2 linked regions of the Caenorhabditis elegans genome follow. The protein of the gene in region 1 purifies or fractionates together with the protein of each later gene. This does not show direct contact. Each region holds a gene or a part of one and is shown on either strand. Other genes may lie near its edges.

Region 1 (10,271 bases):
CTCAGAAAAATCCCTGAAAAACGTACTAAAACTCTAAAAAAAAGTATTTTTTCAGATCTTTCTCGAATACCAACCCCTGCACCGACACATGCTCACACCAAAATCCCGGGATTGCTCGGAGCCGTCAATCGATAAATCATCAGAAGTATTACCGGATCAACCGTTATCCGAACGATCCATATGCCCATATCATCACATTTTGAATTACGACGAGAAAGTAAGAGTTTTTGTGGGAATTTGCACGTAGCCAAAAGCCAAGGTGCATTATAAATTGCTAGTTTCCTTATAATAACACTTGTCAAATGAGGAAGAGGATCAAAAATTAGATGAACTTTTGTTCGAGCTTCAGTTAATTAAACCATGGCACCGCCAGACACTCATAACACATTATTTCAGAGGATACCCGCCGCAATTTCAGAAGTCGAGTGTTCCTGTCCGCATGTGAAGGTTCATGGTGAGTATTTCCGGGAAAAAAAACTGCTGGAAAAAATCTGAGGCTTGGCTTTTTATACTAAAAATAATTTAAAACCGCGAATTTCTTAATGATGCGTTCTGAAAATTTTTCAAAAAAAGTTATGCCGACTATAAGTTTTGAGCTAAAATTTCAAATTTGTCCAACTTTCCATTCGCAGAGGTCGGGCTTAAGCTTAGGTCAATGCTTAAGCTTAGGCTTAGGATTAGGCCTAGTGCTTAGGCCTATGTTTAGGCGCATGCTTAGGCTTAGGCTTAGGATTAGGTGTAGGCTTAGGCGTAACCCCGTCTTCTGAGAATTTGACATCTAATTTTGCTCTCAACACAAGTTTGATCCTTAGGCTGCACAAAATACAACAAAAAAGTATATATAACACCTGCTGGTGTTCGATAAAAAAGTAGAATTATCAAAAATGTTCGATTTTGTGCATGTTCGTCACTTTGTTGGCAGGTGACTTGATAGAATAGTAGGCGAGCAAAAGTTTCCTGAAACATGGTTTTTCACCTGTCGATGTTCGATTTTGCAACCTAGCTTGTATTTTTCAAGGGGAAATGGAATGTCTAGGGATTGTCATAAATGAATTAGTATTGCAAGACATGGTGCATGGATGAATTCTTCACTTCGACCTCTTATGTCTTTGTTGTCATTGATTTTATCCTAAAACGTTTAACTAACAAAATATTTAGAATTTAATTTTCTACAGTTTGTATGCCAAACTATTTTCCTATCAGCTGGTTAAACTAGGATTTAAGCTTTTTAACTAAAAGCTAACCATGGTGCATCAACTAAATTTGGTTTACTCAACTTTAAATGCTCAAAATTTTCTTATTTTTGATCAAAATATAAGTGCAATTTGACTTAAAATAATTGTTTTCGGTATACTTTTTCACACCTGATTACATATACTTATTGTTAGCTCAAAACAAATATTCAGACAATGTGTCATACACACAGCTGAACTTGAGTGAATAAACAAAACTTTGGTGTTCGATTTTGTCACCGAGTCACGGAAAAGTGCAAGAAACTGATCTTCAAGTTGGAATTTCCGCATTTTTAGACACTGGGAATTAAACTTGATGAAATATTATATCAAGTTAGAAGTTTCAGCTGCGACAGATCAGAAAAATTGCAAAAATTGATATTAACTTGATCTTGGAAAATGTTCTGAGCAACACTCAGTTGGTGGATGCACTATGACTTTATCAGTTGATAACTGGGTTAACCTTAACCGTACCAACAAATTCTTAACTGCAAAGTTATAGAAAAATTAATAAACAATATTTTGTTTGTTAACAAATTTTTGATAACACCAAAGAAAATCAAGATATGAGCGGTCAAAGTTCGGGGCCGATGCACCATGTCTCGCAGCTCACTTTAACAGCTTATATCTCGGTTCAACTTGATGATAAAAAAATAAAATCGACTACAAAGTTGTAGAAAAGTTGACAAGCAATATTTTGGTAGTTAACAAATTTTTTATATCACCAAAGATAATCGAAATAAAAGCGGTCAAAGTTCGGGGTCGATGCACCATGTCTTGTAGATCACTTTAACAGCTTGTAACTCGGTTCAAGTTATTGATATCAAAACTTATTTTTTACTATGTTAAAGAAAAATAAATGAAAAATATTTTGCCAGTTGACATTATTTTGATAAATTTAAAGGCAACTGAGATATGAGCTTTAAAGTTCATAAGTCAAAAATAGTAATTTCTGGAATTTTAGTACATAGGAAACTATTTTACTATTAGTAGAAATGTAAAAATCCTAGGTTTATACCATAATAAACCTTGCTGAATTCAAATTTTCTACTCAAATCGCCCAAAAACACCAGATAAACCTAATATTTTCAAGGCGGCATAATCCACTGCGAGCCAATGATGTACAACATGCGAGTGATGCTCTTCGACGACTCGTGCGACAAATATGTGGAACGAGTACAAAAAGTCGCACTTGCGTGTGTTCCGGTGTTCTCGGTGAGTCAGCTTGTTTTGGTTTGATGTGCAAAAAAATTGGGAATAGGCGAACAATAGATCAGGCAATAGATGGATATAATTCAAAACAAGCTGCTGGAATTGACACACTTTTTCGGGTGGTAATGAGTTCAACTCTCCACCACGGGAAAATTTTTTGCGAATTTTTTCATCCCAAAAAAAAGGAAAAAAAAAGGTCCAGAAAAAACAAACAAACCACGTCATTTCCGCTTTTGGGATTAAGGATTTAAAATGATTTTTTTTGCAAATTTGGACTATTAAAAAGTGGGAGAAATCTATGAAAAAAGAAATTCAACCCGAAAAGTTTCTAACATGTTTTTCAAAAGGTTTGCCACTAAGCCAAATGCGCTGCAAAGATTTCACAATGCTTTAATAATTTCCATTTATAAGAAAGATTGTAAGTTTCGAAATGTAATTGTTTTATTTTAAAACAAACTGTTAGAGCTGAAAAATCACTATATTATCTGCCCTGAACCAACAAAAGAAGTTTCAATTTTAATTCCACAGGCGTTTTCTTGATATTCATTTTTAAAAAAGTTCAATTTCACAACCGCGGTATAGACAAAGCTTCCTCATCCCGTTCTCCAAAAAAAAAAATTATTGATTTTTTCAGAACCACATCAGCTCGGGAACCCACTCGCATTCCCTGCCAACACCGCCATCAACACCACTTTAGCATCATTTGTTTCATCATATCAGTAGTAGATTGTTAGAATCCAAAGTTTTTTCCCTATTTTTGTGATCTCAGCTGTTTTCTGTATAAATTGAAAAAAAACCCTCGCCTAAAATTCTGAATTTTGCCAAAAACCGATATTTTTTGTGTCATTTTCATTAAATGTTCAATTTTTCCGTCTCATTTCATAATTTGCATTTCTCGATTTCCTATTTGTTTCACTTTTTGTCCTTTGACCCCATTTTTCCACACTAATCGGGTAGTTTTTTTGGTTCTTTATATGTCAAATGAATATTTTTTTTGGTTCAAAGTACGATATATATTTATTGATTGACTGAAGAAAACAATTTTTAAAGAAAAAAATCGATAAAATAGTTGGCCACGTGGAATTAGTTGAATTACACTCTTCTCGAGGTGCAGCACACGCATTGAAGAGCACGGTCTGGCTGAAAAAAAATAAATTTGGCAGGGTTTCAAAAGTTGTGAGCTCACCGAGTTTAAGTCGTCGTCCTTCTTGTGGTGCTTCTTGTCGGCGGACAGCTTCGGGTCGAAGATCATCAGAATTCCGACGACTTTCTGCAAAATTGGAGAGATTTTTGGGGGGAAAACGAGCTTCAGGCAACTAAAAACGAGCTTTTAAACTCGGAAAAATGTTCTCAGATACACTAAAAATTGCTTTGCAACCTCAAATATGTTTCGTAGAGGCAAAAGAGCTTAGGCCTCAAAATTTGCTTAAAAACTGCGTTAAAATTACAAAAAATGATTTTCAGACGCTAAAAACAGTTTCTAGACCTTAAAACAGGTGGAACTAAGTTTAAGCCTAATCCTAAGCCTAAGCCTATGCCTAACTTTAAGCCTAAGCTTGTGCCTAAGCCTAAGTCTCAGCTTAAGCCTAAGCCTTAGCCTAAGCCTAAGCCTAAACCTAAGCCTAAGCCTAAACCTAAGTCTAAAAATAAACCAAAGCTATAGCTCTGACCCGCACTAACCGATGAGCTTCCAGCGGCACGGGACGAGATGGAGCAGCAGTTCTGGCACGACTCCTGCGAGTAGATGGCGGTGTTTCTGCAAGCCTGACGCTCGAACGGGCGTGGTCTCTGGATGAAGGATGGTCCGTAGGCTGGAGCATCGTATTGCTGGTTGTTGTTGTAGTTGGAATCTTGAGCTGGGGTTCCGTAGGCTTGTCTCTTCACGCGGTCGCCTCTGTGGTGACCGCGATGGTGCTCTAGAAGTTTTAAGGTGAACGGGACCCGTAGGAAAGTTGTTAAAACTAACTTCTAAGACCGACAAGTGGGAAGGAAGCGTGGACAGAGCAATAGTTGACGTCAAAGTTTGGGAACTGGTAGACTGGGTATTGGGGTTGGTTGTAGGATGGTCCGTTGTCGTAGCCACCGCCATAGTGAGCTCCAGCTGGGGCGTCCTTGACGTCGGATTGCTGGAAAATTGGACATAAAATTTTATTCGCTCATACTTACTGATAATTTTTTTCTAGTACTAAATTCTAAACTAGTCTAGATTCAAAGGTAGGTATTGATTACGTTCCTATACTAATAGTAAGCTACCTAGAACAAGTACTTCAAATGAATGATGGTAAATATTAAAAGCTAAACAATTATTACACTTTCAGTATTTAACAGTTACTACTTAATCTCAAAAGTATTTAATTAGTCCTAATATACCTCCCTGAATACTATTCAATATACATGCCTACTTATAGTATTACCTTTGTATCGGATTAAATAATGTGCCATATTCGTAACGTGTTTAATTTGAATTAGACCTACATCCTATTTAAGGTACATATATTTAAGGTCTAGCTACATCTAGCCACAGTAACTCCAGGAGCAGAACCTAGGTAAAAGAAACTAGTTAAATGTATACTAACCTTCCTAATAAGTTGAATTCTATTAAATATATCTACGCTTAATCAACATAGCATTTCATCAAGAAATCTTATTACCTCTAAATTTTCTGTCCGATTCAAGTTACACCTTAGCAAGTAATCTTATTTAGACTTACTATTTAGGATATCACAATATAGTATAGGTAACCCTTACGTGATACATACTAATGCACACGTGATACGGAATAAACCTAATCTTAATAACTTGAATACAACTAATTATACCTACTGACAATACATCAAGATTTAGTCAAATATCTATAACAGCTTTACTTTTTAACGTGTCTAAATCAAGTTATCTATCAAGCTACAGTAACCTTACAGTCCGTTTTTCCTAGTTCCAACAGAACCAACAGTAACGCTTACCTTCTCAGGAGCCTCGGTGCTCACAGCGCAGGTGACAGCGGCGCAAAGTGCCAGAGACGCGACGATCCAAGTGGTGGAAAACATGATGATGATCGGAGCCAAGATGCTTCGCCGCTTTTATACTTGAGATCCGCCAGAGATATGGAGGCGGGAACTCGGCATTGTAGTTTGAGGGGAAAACGTTAGGCGTTGGATAAAAAACAAAAAGGTTTGGAGCGCAAAAATGTTTGCTACGGAACCTGGAATTAAATCTCACAGCTGTGGTAACTGAGCCAACAAGTCAAAAGGCTCCAATACATGGTGAATCACTCGGACTTGATCAACTGGAAAAATGTTCCTTAACAGTTTTTCTACAGTGTTCTAGTTCAAAATGTGTTGATTTTCTCAAAATACACTTTGCTAAAAGATACACAAATTAGTTCTTTGAACCCCGCTGGATCTCAGACACATGTTGCAACACATCCTTAGGTCACTTTTTTTTCGACCGACTATTTTTTTCAGCTTTTCCATTTTCTTTTTTCTTCGCTGCTCAATCCATCACACATTCCGCTGGGCTCTTTTTCCTGCCGGCCGCAGCCGCCGCCCACCTGATTGCAACATGTTATATGAGAAATGGGATGATTGAGTGGGCTTGGAATTTCAGACATTTCAGATGATTTCATATGGAGCAACTCGTGATGGGTGAAAGTGCAATTGAATGAGAATGGAGAAATGTGCAAATACCTGGAATTTGGGCATGAAATAGATAATTAACGTATTATGTGAAAAATTTGTCTGACAAGGAAAGTAAGTTAATCTAGTCCCGGACTTCGAATCGAGACGTATGTCATTTGAAAGCTTATGGTTAGCCTAGATCACCGCAAAAATTTCAGATTTTTGGAAAAAAATAAAAATTTCCAAAAAGCTTCCACACTGTTTGTTTGACCCTAAAGACCCCCAAAAACAATTTTTAACCGCTCTAGCCACTTTTAAGGCCATTTACTTGACCTAGAATTCAGCAAAAAAATGCACTGGAGCACTTTCAGATGGCGCTTTCAGGGGTTCAGAGTTGAGTTCCGCCGCTGAAATTTTTTTGGTGATCTAGTCTAAACATAAGCTTTCAAAGGCATATGTCCTGATTCAAAGTCCGGGACTAGATTGACTTCCTTTCCTTGTGAATTGAAAGCTTTGGAGTGATTTATAGTGTTCCTAATGGATTTCTCTATGGATTTGCCAATAAAATTTCAACAATTTACATATCAATGAGCAAATTGCAAACACGTAAAATATGCATTACATAGTTTTACAAAGTTTTGTAATAAATTGATATTTATAAAAATACATAAGAGGGATACGAGCTGCTGAACAAAAATGCTGATTATGGTGCATTGAGAGTAGTTTTATTGTAAAATTTTGGCAGTAGGTTTTACATGCATTATTTATGCTTCAGATTCCCTTCTTTTTGGTGCATCGATGAAAAATTTACTGATCAACTTTAACAGTTCATATCTTCGTAGCCTTTGGTTTTATCAAAAAATTATCAACTGGCAAGTTATTTATTATTACTTTTTCTATAACTGTCTAGTTACAATTTTTTTGATATCTTGAAAATTAGCCGAGATATGGTGCAAATCTATCGATCATCTTTTCAATGTTTCCTCTTTTTTCCCCGTTCCATCAACTCAGACATTTCTACTTTCATCTTCCTCAAGCTTTTCCTCTTGATTTTTTTTTCTGTAGGCGGAGCCCATCCCATGTTCCCCCCGAACTATAAAAGCATGGCTCCGCCGACAAATCCATCATTCGATCGCTTTTCAGAAATGAAAACCGTTCTTCTTCTCACAGTCGCCTCGCTGGCCGCCGTCCTCGGTGCAAAGGTATATGGTTTTTTTGGATTTCCGCAATTTTAGGATAATCTGAAACATTTTCTGCAGCCAACACCCACCGAAGAGGTCAAGTCAGAGGCCGCTGCTGGTCGCTACGGCGGTCGTCCATCGTATGGAGGAGGAGGTTATGGAAATGGAGGAGGATATGGATACCCAGCATTCGGACCAGGATACTGGCAGCCACTTATTCAAGATCGTGAGTTCGTGAAAATTCAAATTTTAAGAGCTATAGTAATTTGGCAATAGAGCGCATTTGCGTAGACCTAGTTATGATTATACTTGTTTGAACCGCAATAGCCAACTTATTTCAAAAATGTAACATTTTTTGGGAATCATCAAAAAATTGACTTATTCATAGGTAGTTTTGTCAATTTTCAAATTTTCGAAAAATTTTGAAAAATTCATAAATTTCTCAGTTTTCGAGATTTTTCAATAATTTTTAAATCAAAATTAAGCTAGTTCTTCAAATTTTGTTGCAAAAATACTGTTTTTTTTTTTCAAAAAATCTGTAGAACTTAGGCCAATTTATCAGAATTAGAATTTTTGAAAATGTTTGAAAACCTGTAACTTTTCCAGTTTTTGAGATAATTGTTTGATTTTTATGTCAAATTAAAGATTAATTTTTTTTAAATTTTTTGGCAAAATTAACTGCGTTACTGTAGTATTTATTTAGATTAAATTTAATCTAGTTGGTGCAGAATTTCAAAAAAGCTACAATTTTCAAAAAATTTCATTGAGTTTAATGCCAAATTGAAGCTTAAATTTTATATTTTGAAAGAAATTGAAATTCGGTAGAAAACACACTTTTCCTAGGTTACGATAGCTTCCATTATTTTTTATACAAAATTCAAAAATTTACCCTTAAAATGACACAAAAACCATCCCAAAATCTCAAAAATTGAGAAAGTTATAGATTTTCAAAAATTTTTGAAATTTTGGACTTTTTTTTTTGGAAGAGTCAAATTTTATTGCTATTAAATTTTTTCGACAATTTTTATCGAAAACTAATTTTTCTTGAAAATTCAAAAATTTACCCTCAAAATACCACAAAAACCATCCCAATATCTCGAAAATTGAGAAAGTTATATAATAGATTTTTGAACATTTTCGAAAATTCATAACTTTTTTAGTTTTCGAGATTTTTTATTGAATTTATTGTAAAATTAGAGCCAATTTTTTAAAATTCTGTAGAACAAACTGATTTGAGTCAGGAATTTTTTTTGTCAAATTAACTAAAATGGTTTTTTTCTAAAATTTTCGAAAATCTACAACTTTTCCAGTTTTTGAGATATTTTATCAGTTTTTAAGTTAAATTGAAGCTGAAATTTTGAATTTTAAGATGAAAAATATTTACAGGCTTCGTATGCGACCTCGACGCCTCCGTGCTCCTCGTCGTCGACTCTGTCCGCCGCCATCATCGCCACCCACAGCCATACTACGGTGGAGCCCCATCCGTCCCAGCTAATCGTGCCGTTCGTGTAAAGTGCTCCGAAGTTGCTACCCATGATGAAGATTCCTGTAACTTCTGCTGCCAACAGACCGCCCGTCGTGACACTTCCCTTCCCAACGATCAACTCTTCGGATTCTTGGCTATTACCAAGGATGATGATGATGAGACATTCAAGAGATCCAAGAGAGGAGCTGATGATGATGATGATAATGATTCGGATTCTGATGAGAAGGACGGAAAACATGGACGTGGAAGATTCCATAAGGTTGACTCTACCTACTTGTCAGAGGCCAACTGGGAGCCAAAGAAATATCATAAGAATGTCAAGTGCGTGTGCTGTGCTCCAAGATCCTCTCCAGCTGCTCAGGTGGGGAATATTTTAAGGACTATTTTTTTTTGTTGGGAATTCAGTGATTTTGCTTTAATCTGGCTCAAAAATTACAAAAAAAATGTTGAAAAATGAGGAAGTTATAAATTTTCAAAAAACCGCGGAATTTCGATATTTGAAGATTTTGGCCTACGAGTCTAAAAGTCTAGTTTTGAAGACAGTAAATTTTTTGAAAATTTAAAATTAATCCTTTTTAAATAATTTCAAAATTTACTTTAAATTTGGCAAAAAAATCACTGAAAAATCTCATACACTGAAAAAGTTATAGATTTTCAAATTTCTGTCAGAATTAACAAAACTTTTAATTTTGGACCAATGACTTTCTTTTTGGTTTTTACCACAATTTAGTTTTTATATAACTAAAACAATTTCACTACAACATTTAACAATTCAGCTTTAATTTGGCCCAAAAATCTCTAGAAAATCTTGAAAACTAAGAAAGTTGAGAATGTTCAAAAAATCTCCGAATTTCGAAGTTTGAAGCCCTAAATTTAAGCCATATGACGAGTTCAAGCGTCTAGTTTTGAAGAAAATATGGTTTTTCAGCGTTCAGACTAGTTTTTTCCATAAAAATTGAAACTTCCGCTTTAATTTAACACTAAATTCACTAAAAAATCTCAAAAACTGAAAAAGTTTTGGATTTTTGAAAAATTTTAGAAAATTCCAAAGTTTGAGAATTTGGCATTAGGCCTACTTTTTTCAGCTATTTTACTGAATACATCACTCCAAACATGAATTTTTGTAAAATTTTAAAATTTATATTCAATTTGCCACAAAACTTATCCAAAAGTCTCAAAAACTAAGAATGCTATGGATTTTCGAAAAATCTCAAAATTTTGAAATTCGAAAAATAAGGAATTTGAGAGGAATTTTTCATGTTTTTGAACCTTTCTAAGACGATATTAAATTAAAAATTATTTTTTCCTAAAAAATATAAAAGTTTAGCTTCAATTTGACACAAAAATCACCAAAAACTCTCAAAAACTGAAAAAGCTACGAATTTTCCAAAAATTTTGAAATTCTCTCCAAAAATCTTCTCAAACTGAAAATTTCATCGGGATTTTATTGAATTTTGCAAAAAAAAAATCGATAATTTAGCCTATGTACCACTGAGTTTTAAAGAAAATTTCCTAAGAAATTTTTTTTTCAATTTCTGAAAACCCC
Region 2 (12,927 bases), about 10 Mb from region 1:
GCAAAAACGGAAAAAATTGGTTCGACGTGAATAAGTGTGCACCCACTTGGGTGTCGACGTCATAACGGATGGGGGCTTGGAAGTAAAAGAACAAAAAAGAGGGCGTTGAGAATGGGTGGAATGCTACAAAAGGGATAGTGGATAGATTTTGGAAAGAATTTAAATACATTTTATTTCGGAAAAGTTGTGAGAATTTTAAAGAATAGTTGATTTACCACCAAACGTCACAAGAAAATGAAATGTAAAAACTCCAAAATGAGCTTTACAAAAAATTCAGAATGTTTTGGTTTAGCAGGTTTTGAAACATGTGTAGATACCTTTCACCAAGAATCATGTAAAAAATTTCGCGCCAGTCTGTTTAAGGATTGTTTAAGGATCAAATAGAAGACAATTTCAAGTATAGTTTACGATATTCGAGTTTCAGCTGCCTTTCTAAATGTCTGAAATTTGCTTGAATAGAGTAAAAATTTAGTGGAACCTAGCTAGGCAGTATTTGGAGTTCCGAACCTACTGTAATGCACTGCAAAATTCTTTTGCAAACGCCCTACTTTTAAGAAACTGTGTTTTTTATTTATATCTGGGCTGGTAAACAATTGAAAATTGGAAACTTATTAAAGGGACAACTGCATTCATATTATAGTTTGTCTAATAAATTCAAGTTTGACATGAACCTTTGAAACTTTTGAAACGATGACATACTAGATCTTCTTTGAAGTACATTCACTTTTATTTGGTTTTCTGCTCGAATATTTTTCAGTGTCAAATGCACGTCCGCTTCTCCTTTTCATAGAGGAAGAACTACAAAATGTTATATGGAGCATCAGAATGAGAAGAAAATGAAGAAATATCTAATTGATACGCCTTTCAGAAGCGGACCACCTGCGGTCCAAAACAACGAAAATGATGTGAGGGAGGACTGGAAAAAAGAAGAAAAGGAGATAAATGAGAACGAATTAAATTATCTATCAATAGTTGTTCTTCTGTACTTTTTCTAGAATATTAGAAAACAACTCAATGAATGGAAAATATAAATGACTCGAATCGCCTAGCTGATCCATTTTTGAATCATTAATATCTCATTCAACCTATCCAAAAGGGACTTTTGAAATTATGAACTTTCTCCATCTAAATTCAATTTCTTTTCATGTGATATTTGCTCTTTTTCAATGTGATTTGTGCTCTTTACATCAAATCCTCAAAACTCTAATACCACACAGACTATATTAACAAACTCATTTTGATTTAGAATTTATATGTATGACGCCTTGCATTTTCAAGTTTCTGGAAGGTTGAAGGTTTATAGTAAGATTACGGCTCTCACCTGGATACAATTTTTCTTACACCAATTTGAATTTTGTAAGACAATAATTTGTTTACTTTGAAATAAAGACGTCTTGAGGCGGGTGACATATTCTGTTTGAAAGCCCTGACTGGGAAACGCTGGAGGACGTGTGAATGAAGTTTTGCTTTAACATTTCCAAAAATAGTCTAAAATTCAGAAATAAGACAAAAAAATGGAAATCGATTAAGAATGCAAATTTCAACTGTGAAAACCCAAATGTTTAATTTTGGCAGAGTTAAATATTTGTATTCGGCGAGAAAAATATGAAAAGCTAGTAATTTTGGCAGAACTCATAGTCAGATAAAAATGTAAAACGGAGACTAGAATGGTGACCTTAAAACTGATCAGACGACATTTAAAGTATTCCAAATACGTACCAATTCCAGAATCAGAAAAGTTCAGGTATAATTTCAGCTGCCAGTCACTCTGAATAACTAGATTCCACTCACTCTTTGATCATTCGACGTTTGGATTATTTATATCTGGAACATAGTGTCATCACTCACGGAAATCTGACGTTTCCGGATCACTAATATTATTTCGAAAAGCAACCACGGAAGAGCTTTCATTTGAAATTGATCAAAGCATATTCTCCTTCAAGCCTTTCAAATTGTATTTATTCTGTAGCAAAAACACAACAACAATGATTGGACACAGTTATACTGAAAGTTTGAAAGTTATCTCAGTAGAATATACAAATAATCAAAGTTCTTTGCCAGCAATAAAATGGGTCGATGATCGCGTAAGGAATGAGAAAAAGTCCGTACGAAAACTTTGTGGCAAGGACAATTGAAGTTAATTTTAGTAAATGTGAGAATCAGAAATAGAAAACGATGAAACAAATAAACAAAGGAAAAGGGTGCATGATGTTCTACAACTTTCGAGGGAAAATTGAGGGAAATTACTATTTGTCAAAAGTGAAACCATATACGAGTTTCTAGATAATAATAGATATCTATAAGTCCTCTTTTTTTATAATTTCGTTTATCATTTCGAGAGCTAAATTAAACCATCTCGTTGCATGGTTTTTTATGCATTCGTTGTGATTTCGTTGTGAGTGATTGAAAGCTGCCTTCGTGATTTACAGGCGGTGTCGGCAAGCTATTAGGCTCTTGTGTGTTAATATTTTTAAGATATATAACATCATTTTGACTGAATAAAATATTCCCCTTCAATAAATATGAACGTAAAGGTGGCCTTTGACCCAGTTCTTCCTAATTTTATAGTGATTCAACGCGTTGTCTACTCGAGTGGGCATTACGAGAGAAGCAGAGGATAAGAGAAAAAGCAAGAAAGATCTGAAAATAGGATAATAATGGGGTTAGATCATAAGTCTCCCTCTTCCATTCAATATTGTAACACAGTCACTGTTCTCCTATTCTGACACAATGAGCATCTTTCCTCTGCTCAATCTACCTGAGAAATCTCTGAATTACGTTCTTCGAAGAATGCCTTTAACCGAATTGTAAGTTTCTGAAATTTTGTGTTTATCCGTTTTCCAAAACTTCTTAAACCCTCCACCGTTTTTTGTGTGACACTTTGACCTATAAAAATGGGGACACCAGTTTGTTATGACGTCACGCATCATTAGACGTTGCTCGACAAAATACGCCTGACGACACACTAATAACCAAATATTATTGTGTCGCAGAAACGCCGTTTGTAAAATAATTATAGCTGCCAATATTAAAGTGGAACTACCGTATTTCTTCTATTAGTATTGCAGTCTCTAATAGTCTTGCACCTTTTTTTTGACTATGAGGAAACTTCAACGAATTTGTAATTTTTGGATAAACTTCTCAAAAATTGTTCTAATAGAGGATAAAGTATTAGAAAATAATGTATTGGTTTAAACGGTTGTATTGGTTTAAAAGTTTTCCATAAAATTTGGTAACTGTTCCGAAGTTATGGGGCTTTTGAAAATTAGTCTTGCACCTGTGAGAGGTCAGTTCTATACTGCCTCTCCGTTTCTTTTTATCGAGTGCACTCGATCATGGCCATCGACAACTGGTGGGGTGAGAGAGCACGAGAGAATAGATACATTTTATTCTACATATGAGAATTAACATCATTTCTATCCGGAGGCAAAAAAAAAGTTTCTTGTTTCAGAATTGGATTCGCTCTCATTTCTCAAACGGCAAAAAATCATGTTGAGAATTTGAATATAAAAATGAGAGATGTTCTGGTGGGTTTAGAAGACAATATACGATTTTATATTCGGGCCGATAGGAATAACTTTGTTGCGTCCGCGTTCTTCTCATTTGATATAAACCAAGTCCTTGAACAACCTGGTAAACGTGAATTCATTCTGAAGACTAGTGAAGGACAAACTTGGACCAATCCAGGACTTGGAGTGAGACAATTTTTGGATCATGTTCTTGAAATAGGTCATCATCCAGAGCTTTCTATTTTCTTCAATAAGATTGATTGCGACGAAGATACAATTTGTGATATGTTTGATGTTTTGGCACTTGAAACATTCGCAATGTACATCGGAAACTTTGTTAATATTTTTTATCAAAAAATGTTGAAGTATTATTTGAAAAACAAAAAAGTACAATGAACGACACTCCATAGAGACATCCAAATGGAACGACAAAACCGGAAACAATTTTGAGAGAAAAAAGTTAGAAAAAGTCAAAAGATTGGTGTGAGTCAAAAGAATGTGCCCCCTTGGGTGCAAGTTGAATAAAGAAAGTGAAGAAGATGGATTGAATGATCACAAAATGGAAAGTTTACAAGGAAAATTTTTCAGGGGATTTCTGGAAAATAACTAAAATTGGAAATTGCATTTCAAATCACACAAGCTTTTCAGTTTTCAACTTCAAATTATTTTCTTGAAATTAATATACGTCTAAAACTCTCTGAAACAAATAGCAATTTTGTCAACTTCTATTTTCAGCAATTGTTTTCTTTTCAATGATACTACAAATTTCTGTAAAATTTATAAAATGTTTACTTTCATTTTTGTAGAACACTGTTCAGAAGAATATCAAACAATCATTGATTGATACGAGAGAATCATTCAGATGAATTGCGTCCCTTTCACATTTACAGCGGCATTTTTTACGGAAACATCTATTATAACTTTTGTGGGGTTCGAATCGGTACAGGATTGCATTTTATTTTGGAACAGTTGGGGCTCGCACGATTTATTTAACAAAATTTTAAACTTCAAGGTATCGTTGAGCATGCAAATAAATCAGATTATTATGACAACATGAAAACTTGGGTGTATGGGGTAGAGAAAAATGGGAAGGGAATGATGCTGAATAATAGCTGATTAGCTCAAGAGATCAAATGCAATAAAGTTAGTACATGTAAAGATTAGATTAGTTTGCGGAATGGGGGTGTTTAGAACAACTTATCAATATCCCGATTTATCATCATTGTACGTCGAACTGCCGTATGAAGAGTTGCTGTCAGACGCTTGGCCAGAACAAGATGGTACTGCGCTTGGCCAATCGCAAACGGACAACAATGGATTGAACACGGTTCCCGATGGGCACGTCATCACAACCTTTCGTCCCCACACGCATCGATAGAAAACTTCGCAGTTATTGGCATCAGCGATGAAAGATCCATGTTCGGAGCATTCTCCATTGGTTTGACCATGGTTCTCGCATCCACTGACTTTTTGTGGGTAGTCGCATTTGCCGGTCAATTGATTGAATGCAAGGCTGGATTGACATGATGGATGTTCGAACAGTTCTCCTCCGAAGCACTGAAAAATTTCGTTTAAGTTTGAAAACATTCGTTAAAAATACCTGAAGAATTGCCGAACAATCTCTTTCGTTTCTGTAAAGGCCATCTTCCTTTCCATCACAAAAAGCGGACTGATCATTACTGGTGTAGTACTTCTTGATGGACGGATTTTTCGGAACAGTACACGCGGATACAGATTCTCTAACGATACACTCCAACTTGTCATTTGAAAAAACACGATCTTCGGAACATTGTTGAAGTTTTGAAGCACCGTACGAGCATCTGAGATATTTGCTGCTGCAGACACCAATAGAAAAGACAGCTTCCCCGTCCACATGTGCACATCGTCCTTCAAACTGCTTTGGTTGAGCAGGAGCGGGCGTTGTTGCAATCATCTGAAATTCAGTAATTTGTGAGATACTAGCTTAATAATCAACTCACATCCTTGATAGCATCACGAATAGCCTCCTTTCCACAACCGATTCTAGGAACGCATCTGTTAGAGTGAGAATCGAAGAGTTTCCCAATCCTGCACAATTTCTCAACGTTTCCGGCGTCGGTACATTCCAGGTATGTGCGAACGCAGAATCCAACGGGGGTACGTGATCCAACGGTGCATTTTTGGTCGTGCTCCACGTCATCCTCTTCTTCGTCTTCGCTGTCATTATCGGCTCGGTCATAGGATCTAGTAGACGTGGTTTCATCTCCGTATGGAATAGTGTATTCACCGCTGTCTGTTGTAGAATATTTAGTGGAGCCAGTGATGTAGGTGTCCGTTGGCCCGTCATTTGCAACTGTAGTAGCAGCCTCAGTTGTCGTAAGAACCTCTTCTAATGTCTTGTACGGCATTAACTGAACAAGACCAGCATCTGAAATAATTAGAGGATTGAAGCTTAAGAAATATTGAAATTTGATACCTGTCGTAACTTCCTGCTCATCACAAGCTCGAGCTGGAATTTCACTGAAAGTCCGGCAACCTTGTACTGATGGATCGTAACCTTCACCCAGCTGGCAGTTACCCGAACTGATAAGGCGTCCATGTGAACAGACGAAGTAAAACGATGAGCATCCCGTTCCATGAGTTCCATCTGAGAGACTTGTGCAGGTATCAACTGGGTTGACAGTAACCGACGGAATGTACGGTGCCACGGAAGGTTCATACGTTGTTGGCTCATCCTCTGATGGCGATGCTGGAGTAGTTGTGAAGTCCAAATACGGAACAGTCGACGAAGAACTTACGTCTGCTGTTTGGCCTGAAATTGTAACTTTCATAATATTTTCAAACAAAGTTAAAACTCACATTTGAACACTTCGTCTCTGAAACGGCAACTTTGGCTTCGTTCATCGAAATACAGAGACCCTTCACATTCTCTCACAGATGCAGCACTATCCGAGCACTGGATGTACTTTTGCGAGCAACCTAGATCAAAAAGCCCAGAAGCAACATAAGCGCATCGATCTCCAACCGGCGTTTGTGTGGTGGATGGGACATCATCCGATGGGATTCCGTAGTAGTTCGATGACTGATCCTGGCCTGGTGTAGTGATAACAGGTGAACTTGTAGATCCTTGGGATCCGCCTGAAAATTATCAAGTTGATATAAACCTCAGCTTAGACTAAAGCTTACACTCTGGAACTTCATCTCTGTAAGTACACTCTTGTGTGGCCTCATTGAAATACAACGATTCTCCACAACGACGCACAATTGCTGCTCCATTAGAACATTGAATGTATTTTTGCGAGCATCCAAGTGAGAAAAGGCCTGATGCGTCCAATGAACAACGATCCCCAATGGGAGCAGCTGAAGTCGATGGCACGTCATTTGAAGAGTATTGGGTGGTGTAAGATTCGTATGAATTTGGAGCCTGAGTGGTTGATGGTTGATCATTCCATGTTGATTGAGTAGTGACGCCGTCATTCTCAATGTACTCAGAAGGTGCAGATAAATCGTCTGAAGTCTGTGTTCCGATTGTGACAGCGACTATTGTTGTTGAAACACCGCACGTTTCTGAGCAAGAACGAAGAGTTTTGTCGAATGTTTCTCCAATTGGACAAGCTGCCATACGATTGATTCCGTTTCCAGAGCAGAAAATGAACTGATCGAAACAGTCGCCGAATGTAAGGAAAGTGGGAGTAGTGTATTGTTGACAGTCCTTGTTTACTTGAGCTTGTCGAGCAGATATTTGTGCAGACTGCTGTCCATATACAGATTGTTCAGTTCCGTAGTAGGCTGAACGCTTCCTTCTCGTGGCTCCGAACAAATCTTTTGCGTCGAACGTTTTCTCGTCGTCATAGCCGTCTGGATCCTCATGTGGTCCCAACTGTTTTTTTGAATGACGATTCTTCGGGAATACTTGCTCAATGTTAGATTCAACAAACTTCGCGTTTGGCCCTTCGAACTCATCATCAATCAAGAAACGTTTGTTTCCATCAACCTTCCTGGCATCTCCTTGGATCTTTCCCATTCTTGCACGGCGGTAGTCTTTGAATTGATCGCTAAGTGCAGCACGACCACGGAAAGCGGTTGAGAATGGAGAATCAATGGCCGCTGAAGTATCAAAATTATCACAAAGAAAAGACTAATCCTAACTTACGTCCATAACCATAGCGGCGATGATCTCTGTGGCTGCCTCCACGGTGTCGAGGGATGAAGAATGGATTCTCAAGATACGAGTTTCCATTTACCGGTCCGTAACTCGGCTTCCCATGATGATACTTACGCCTTCTGTCGAATTTTGGTTTCAGACGAACGTTCTCATCAAATGGACTGACGATGGTATCCGATGGAGGCCCGTAAGAGTTGTACGCAGGAGCGGCGGGAACAGTGATTGGTTGACATTGTGGCAAATCGAACACGCACATAACGAGAGAGGACTCGAAGAGAGTGTTGACTGGACATTGCTTTGAACGCACCGAGTTGTTCTGACAACGATTGAATCGTGACGAACACATCCCGAAGGAGTTGACTTGTCCCTCCTGACAAACGAACGGAGTTTGCGTCGTTGTTGTCGTTGTCACGGCATCAAATCCAGTCGTAGTTGTCTCAATAGCATCAATTGAAGGTGTTGTTGTTGTTGAGATGACATCAGCGGAAGTTGTTGAGCTGTATTCACTGTCATCTTCTTGCGGTGTTGTGATTGTAGAAGTTGAGTACGATACAGTGGTCGTTGGATCATCGGTCGTGCATTGGAAATCGCAGGACTCTGAAAAACGAAGAAATTAACATAATACTCGATCACGTGCACTTACGTTGATTGATATTGAAAACTGTTCCCGGTGGACAGTATCTCTGGAACACCATGTTGTTGCTGCATGAGTAGAATACGTCATTGCAACCGTCGGCGTAGTTTCCGTCTTCCAGACCGTTGCAATCGAAGTCAATTGAATCCGGCTGCTCGTTCGACGGTTGACGTTCGTAATCTCCAGCAATCTCACCGGAAGCTTCTCCGTATCCTTCTTCACCATCTTCGTAGACTTGTGGTGCAGTAGTTGTGTCCTGTTTCACTTCGTCGCAAGATTCACGACAATCTTGGGTTCTTTCGTTAAAGACCAAGCTATCAGGACATTTCGCCATGTAGGCTCCGCCGGCGACGCAGCTGATAAACTGGTTAGAGCAGCCAATGGAGTAGATGCCATCCTGTTTCGATGTGCAGTCGAATTCCGCATATGGGGTGTCATCTTCTTCAGTGTTTTCATCTACTCGACATTCTGGAGATTCGTCGACTGGCACACATTCGTCTTCGTAGAAGACAGAATCATCGCTGCAGGTGGCTGCTTGCCTGACTCCGTTCACACATATCGAGTACTGAAAATAAAGAATTATATTTGAAACGGAGGGCTACTGGTTTACCTCCCGACTGCATGCATTTCCTGCTATGTTTCCGTTGAAGTATGCAGGGCATTCTGTGGCTGCTGGTGAGTGCGGGTATTGAATAGAATTCGAAACTGGAAAATAAAAATATTTGATTGAAAAGAAAGAGGCAGAAACTCACAAAATGTTAGTAGAAGCAGCGAGACGGTGGCTAGCTGTGGCCCCATCGCCTGAAATTGATAACAGTTAGAGGATGAATATTTTAACTTAAAAGTTTTACGAAATAAAAACAGAAAAGGTTCAAAATGGTCGCCATTTCAGGAGAAACTAATAAAAATTAGAGCTAATGAAGAAGGAATGAAATGGAACATTCGAGGTTGAAAACTCAATCCAAAAAATTTCCCGCTCGAGCCTAAAACTGGGGTCAAATAATTTTTGATCTACTGCACTTTTACATGTCTGAAATGGGTATTGGCATACATTTGCTCAATTTTATTCTTTAAAAATTAATTTTAGATCATAAAATTAATGAAAACAAACAAAATATTATGAGAAAATTCAAGATATTTTCAAAATTAAGAAAAACTAAAGAATTGTGCGGCCCAAAAATAACAGAGTACGGTATTAGTTAGCAATCGTGGCGAGACCCAACTAACAACATACATGATCCTTTAATACCAACCGTTTCCATTTTCCAAAATATGTTTTTTTGGTTGATTTAATTTTAATTGCATCCAATTTTTTGTTAATTTTCTGAAACAAAAAAATTAACTTCTAAAAATTCATAGTCGGTTTAAATAATTATAACTTTAAATAGAAAGTTTGGACATTAGCGGCTTACTTGACTACGGTATGCAAAAGTACGCAAAGACACTTCACGTCGTTTTGCAGATCCACGGAAAATCAATTTTTTTTTTGATTTTTAAAATCATCGTTTCGTTTTCCTTCGGGAATAGCGAAATTAAGGTTTTTAATGAACTTTTTTCCTCGCTTCTTTCAATAGCTATTAGTAGAATTTGTGTATTCTCTGTTTTCTCTGTCCGCGCGACATAACTTGAAAAAACATTGTCTGATTTCTTAAACATATAACAATTAGTGTTTTATTTTCTTTTTGATATTTTTCTTAAACATTTTTAAATAAGAAGCTTCTATTTTTTCGAAAATTGGTGCGATGAGTTCACTTTTTGATATTGAAATATTTTGAATTACTCCTCCCAAATTGGGAGTCCCAATTTTTATATGCGGAACATTCTAAGGAACATTCATTCTGCCATTTTTCTTTTCCGTTCGATATCGGTGTTTCTAGCTGTCTGAATTACATCAAGACTACTCTTTTAAAAACTTTCACTTCCTCCTATTTGTTCGAGTGCAAAGGAGCGCACTTACTCCCTGTTCAGCTGCTCTCATTCATCCACGTCAACGTTACAGCTAAAGTTACAACAATTGCTCATTAAACGGAACACGATCGATGAGCTCGAAGCTCTACTCACGTTCCGGCGTATTTGTCTGGAGTCCACGTGGAATTCAGAAAAAGGTAATTAATCAATCTTCGTCTATAATTGAAATAAATCAAATTTTCAGGGCTTAATTGTTGCTGATTTCGCTCAGTTTTTTGACCCGACTGCAACATCAATCGAACCAAAGATCGATTTTTTGCCAGCAAGTGAGATATATGAAAAATCGAATTTGGCCCCGAATGTGTCGCATGCCACTAATTATCGGTGAGAATTATAATGTGAAGCGGTATAGTGTATTTCATAATTTTAGATTCAATGAATTAGCCTGGACTTCTCTGTGTTCCGATGCACATCCGAACGGAATAATTGCTGGCGGTACAGAGGACGGAACTGTGGTATTTTTTGATGCTGATAAATTTATCAAGAATCAATCACTAGAAGTTCTTCTTTCTCGAAGAGATCATCATGGGCATGTTCTCACTATTGATGTTTCCAGGGACGGCAGGTATGAAATGAAAGTTTACAAGAACAATTCAAAAAAATAATTTTTAAGATGGATGGCTTCTGGTGGAGGCTCAGGACAAATTCTTCTCTGGGATTGCGCAAATCTGAAAACACCATTCTCTCCCGGTTCGCCAAATTTCCCAGATCAAGTGAAACTTCTTCGCTGGAACTTGAAGAACGAGTCTGTGTTTGCTTCCATATCGTCCAGAAGAGTCAGTTTTTGGGATTTGAGAAGAAATGGATCGCCGGTGTTAGAATTCGCAGAGGTTGGATTTTCAATTGCCTGGTGGCTATTAAAGTTCTATTTGCAGATTCCTGGCTGTGATTGGTCTTCGCTCTCTTGGAATCCTTCGGACGCCTCACAACTTATAGTTTCCAGCCAATCTCAACACGCCTCTGTTATTCAGAAATGGGATTCGAGATTCACTTCAACACCAGTTAAAGAATACAGACATCATAATATGGGAATTACGAGTGTTGACTGGTAAGTTTTTATTTAAAAGTTTGTTGATTATATAATAAAAATTGAGCTAGACAATTTATTTTTGTACAAAAAACTATATAAAAATTACGAAAAATATTAATACAGGAACAAAGCTGATGATCGTCTTGTAATTTCATCTGGCTGTGATGGACAAGTGGTTATATGGAATCACGAAACATCTGAGGTGCTTGGAGGTGTTGGAAGTCTTCAAGGAGACTGGATCCGAAATGTTAAATGGAATGAAGAGGAGCCATCACAATTTGCTATTCAATATTTCCAACATCCTGTTCAAATATCCTCATTGACTAGTCTTGGATCTCCGCAACCAGGAGCCGATGTACTTGCCGCTAGGATCTCCGATCAATTTGTTCCTGCATGGCACCGTGCTCCCTTAATTGGCTCATCAATAGCATTAGGTGGACGGTTGGCAACATTCTGGAAGTCCTACGATGCAATGACCCAACAATGGCACCATAATGTGGAAATTGAAACGGTATTGAAATTTTATAACAAATCTCGTTTTTGACTAGCGGGCCCTATGGGGCCCGCTAGTAGAGGTTGGGTTGGGGCGAGTCCGCTAGCTGGCGCGGGTTCTCGGCTTCGCCTCGAACGTGCGATTGGCAATGTTTTGGGTCTCGCACCGCAGGCCTACGGCCTGCGTGGCTTCCTGAACCAGTATAGCAGGCCTTCGGCCTGCTATAATAGAACAAAAATATGTAAGTAATCAAATATACTGTAGGGATAGTCAAAAAGGTTGCCACAGGCAAGAATTATTCAAAACAATTGCAATTGTATGTACATGTACACGTGGACAGCCAAAGACGACATGTTTGAGGGGTTTATGGTGGGGTGACGATGTGTCGAGTAGAAGAATATCTCCACTATATGACTGATAATTCAAATATGTTGATTTTTGGGAAGAGTTGGGTACCCAGGTGAGTTGAATAATACAACTACCACTGGCGGATGAGGGGAAGGAGGGGGCCGGGCAAAGACTTTTCAAACTTCGACGCGTCGTAACTTTGTTCATAGTAGGAATTGAAAAATTAAAAGTATATACTTGAACTCAGCGTTAAAAGGAGAATATGATAGCATTTGAAATTTTAGAAATTGGTGAAGAATGAACTTTTGAGCTTCCTAAGCATGGCCTGAAGCCTACAACTTCAGGAACGGGGCTCGAGGAACTCATGACCAAAAAATTTTAGTTTGTCTCGCTTCTCATAGCAAAAATAATAAGAATTAGGACATAAAATTCATTATCCAACAGAAAACTGGTCCAGGAAAAGAGGAAAATTGAAATTTCGAGGTCAAAAATTAAATAAACTAAATTCGTTGAAAATGATCGTAGAGGACTGTGCTTTCAGCTTGCATTCGGTATTTATGTACTAATTACGAATTTAACATAAAATCCCATTCGGTAGTGGAAAATTTTTTATTTTTCCAGCAAAAACGTCATTTTTTTGAGAAAATGCAGAAATTTGCGATTTCTGAAGTTATTTTTGACTTTTTTGTAAAAAAAATTATATTTTTGAAGAGTAAATTTCCTGAAAAATACGTTTTTCGAAAAATTTACCCCAAAAAGTGCCAAACTGACCGACTTACAGCCGAAAGAATCTCAAAAATC

The links.
Region 2: the proteins of perm-2 (region 1) and cbd-1 purify together in Caenorhabditis elegans (affinity purification with mass spectrometry, with the first as the bait; one study listed by BioGRID). This does not show direct contact.

Annotation. Positions count from the first base shown.
Region 1 is NC_003282.8:1,122,018-1,132,288, reverse strand, and holds perm-2 (uncharacterized protein), read right to left. Parts: upstream 5,500-10,271; 5' UTR 5,489-5,499; coding exon 5,405-5,488; intron 4,571-5,404; coding exon 4,411-4,570; intron 4,361-4,410; coding exon 4,125-4,360; intron 3,715-4,124; coding exon 3,631-3,714; intron 3,585-3,630; coding exon 3,537-3,584; 3' UTR 3,424-3,536; downstream 1-3,423. Other genes in the region: C44B12.6 (Clip domain-containing protein), read left to right, coding at 56-217, 397-454, 2,326-2,447, 3,079-3,141; perm-4 (PERMeable eggshell), read left to right, coding at 7,204-7,260, 7,318-7,465, 8,626-9,086.
Region 2 is NC_003282.8:11,369,152-11,382,078, reverse strand, and holds cbd-1 (Chitin-binding domain protein cbd-1), read right to left. Parts: upstream 9,089-12,927; 5' UTR 9,086-9,088; coding exon 9,040-9,085; intron 8,993-9,039; coding exon 8,898-8,992; intron 8,853-8,897; coding exon 8,297-8,852; intron 8,251-8,296; coding exon 7,642-8,250; intron 7,596-7,641; coding exon 6,675-7,595; intron 6,627-6,674; coding exon 6,348-6,626; intron 6,301-6,347; coding exon 5,965-6,300; intron 5,917-5,964; coding exon 5,489-5,916; intron 5,443-5,488; coding exon 5,110-5,442; intron 5,067-5,109; coding exon 4,710-5,066; 3' UTR 4,452-4,709; downstream 1-4,451. Other genes in the region: fbxb-76 (F-box domain-containing protein), read left to right, coding at 2,731-2,807, 3,452-3,905; sec-31 (WD_REPEATS_REGION domain-containing protein), read left to right, coding at 10,327-10,392, 10,440-10,579, 10,626-10,820, 10,869-11,085, 11,131-11,303, 11,409-11,796. UniProt on the Caenorhabditis elegans protein: In unfertilized oocytes, maintains egg-1 and egg-2 at the plasma membrane together with chitin synthase chs-1 and kinase mbk-2. Essential for the formation of a continuous and cohesive chitin layer following fertilization.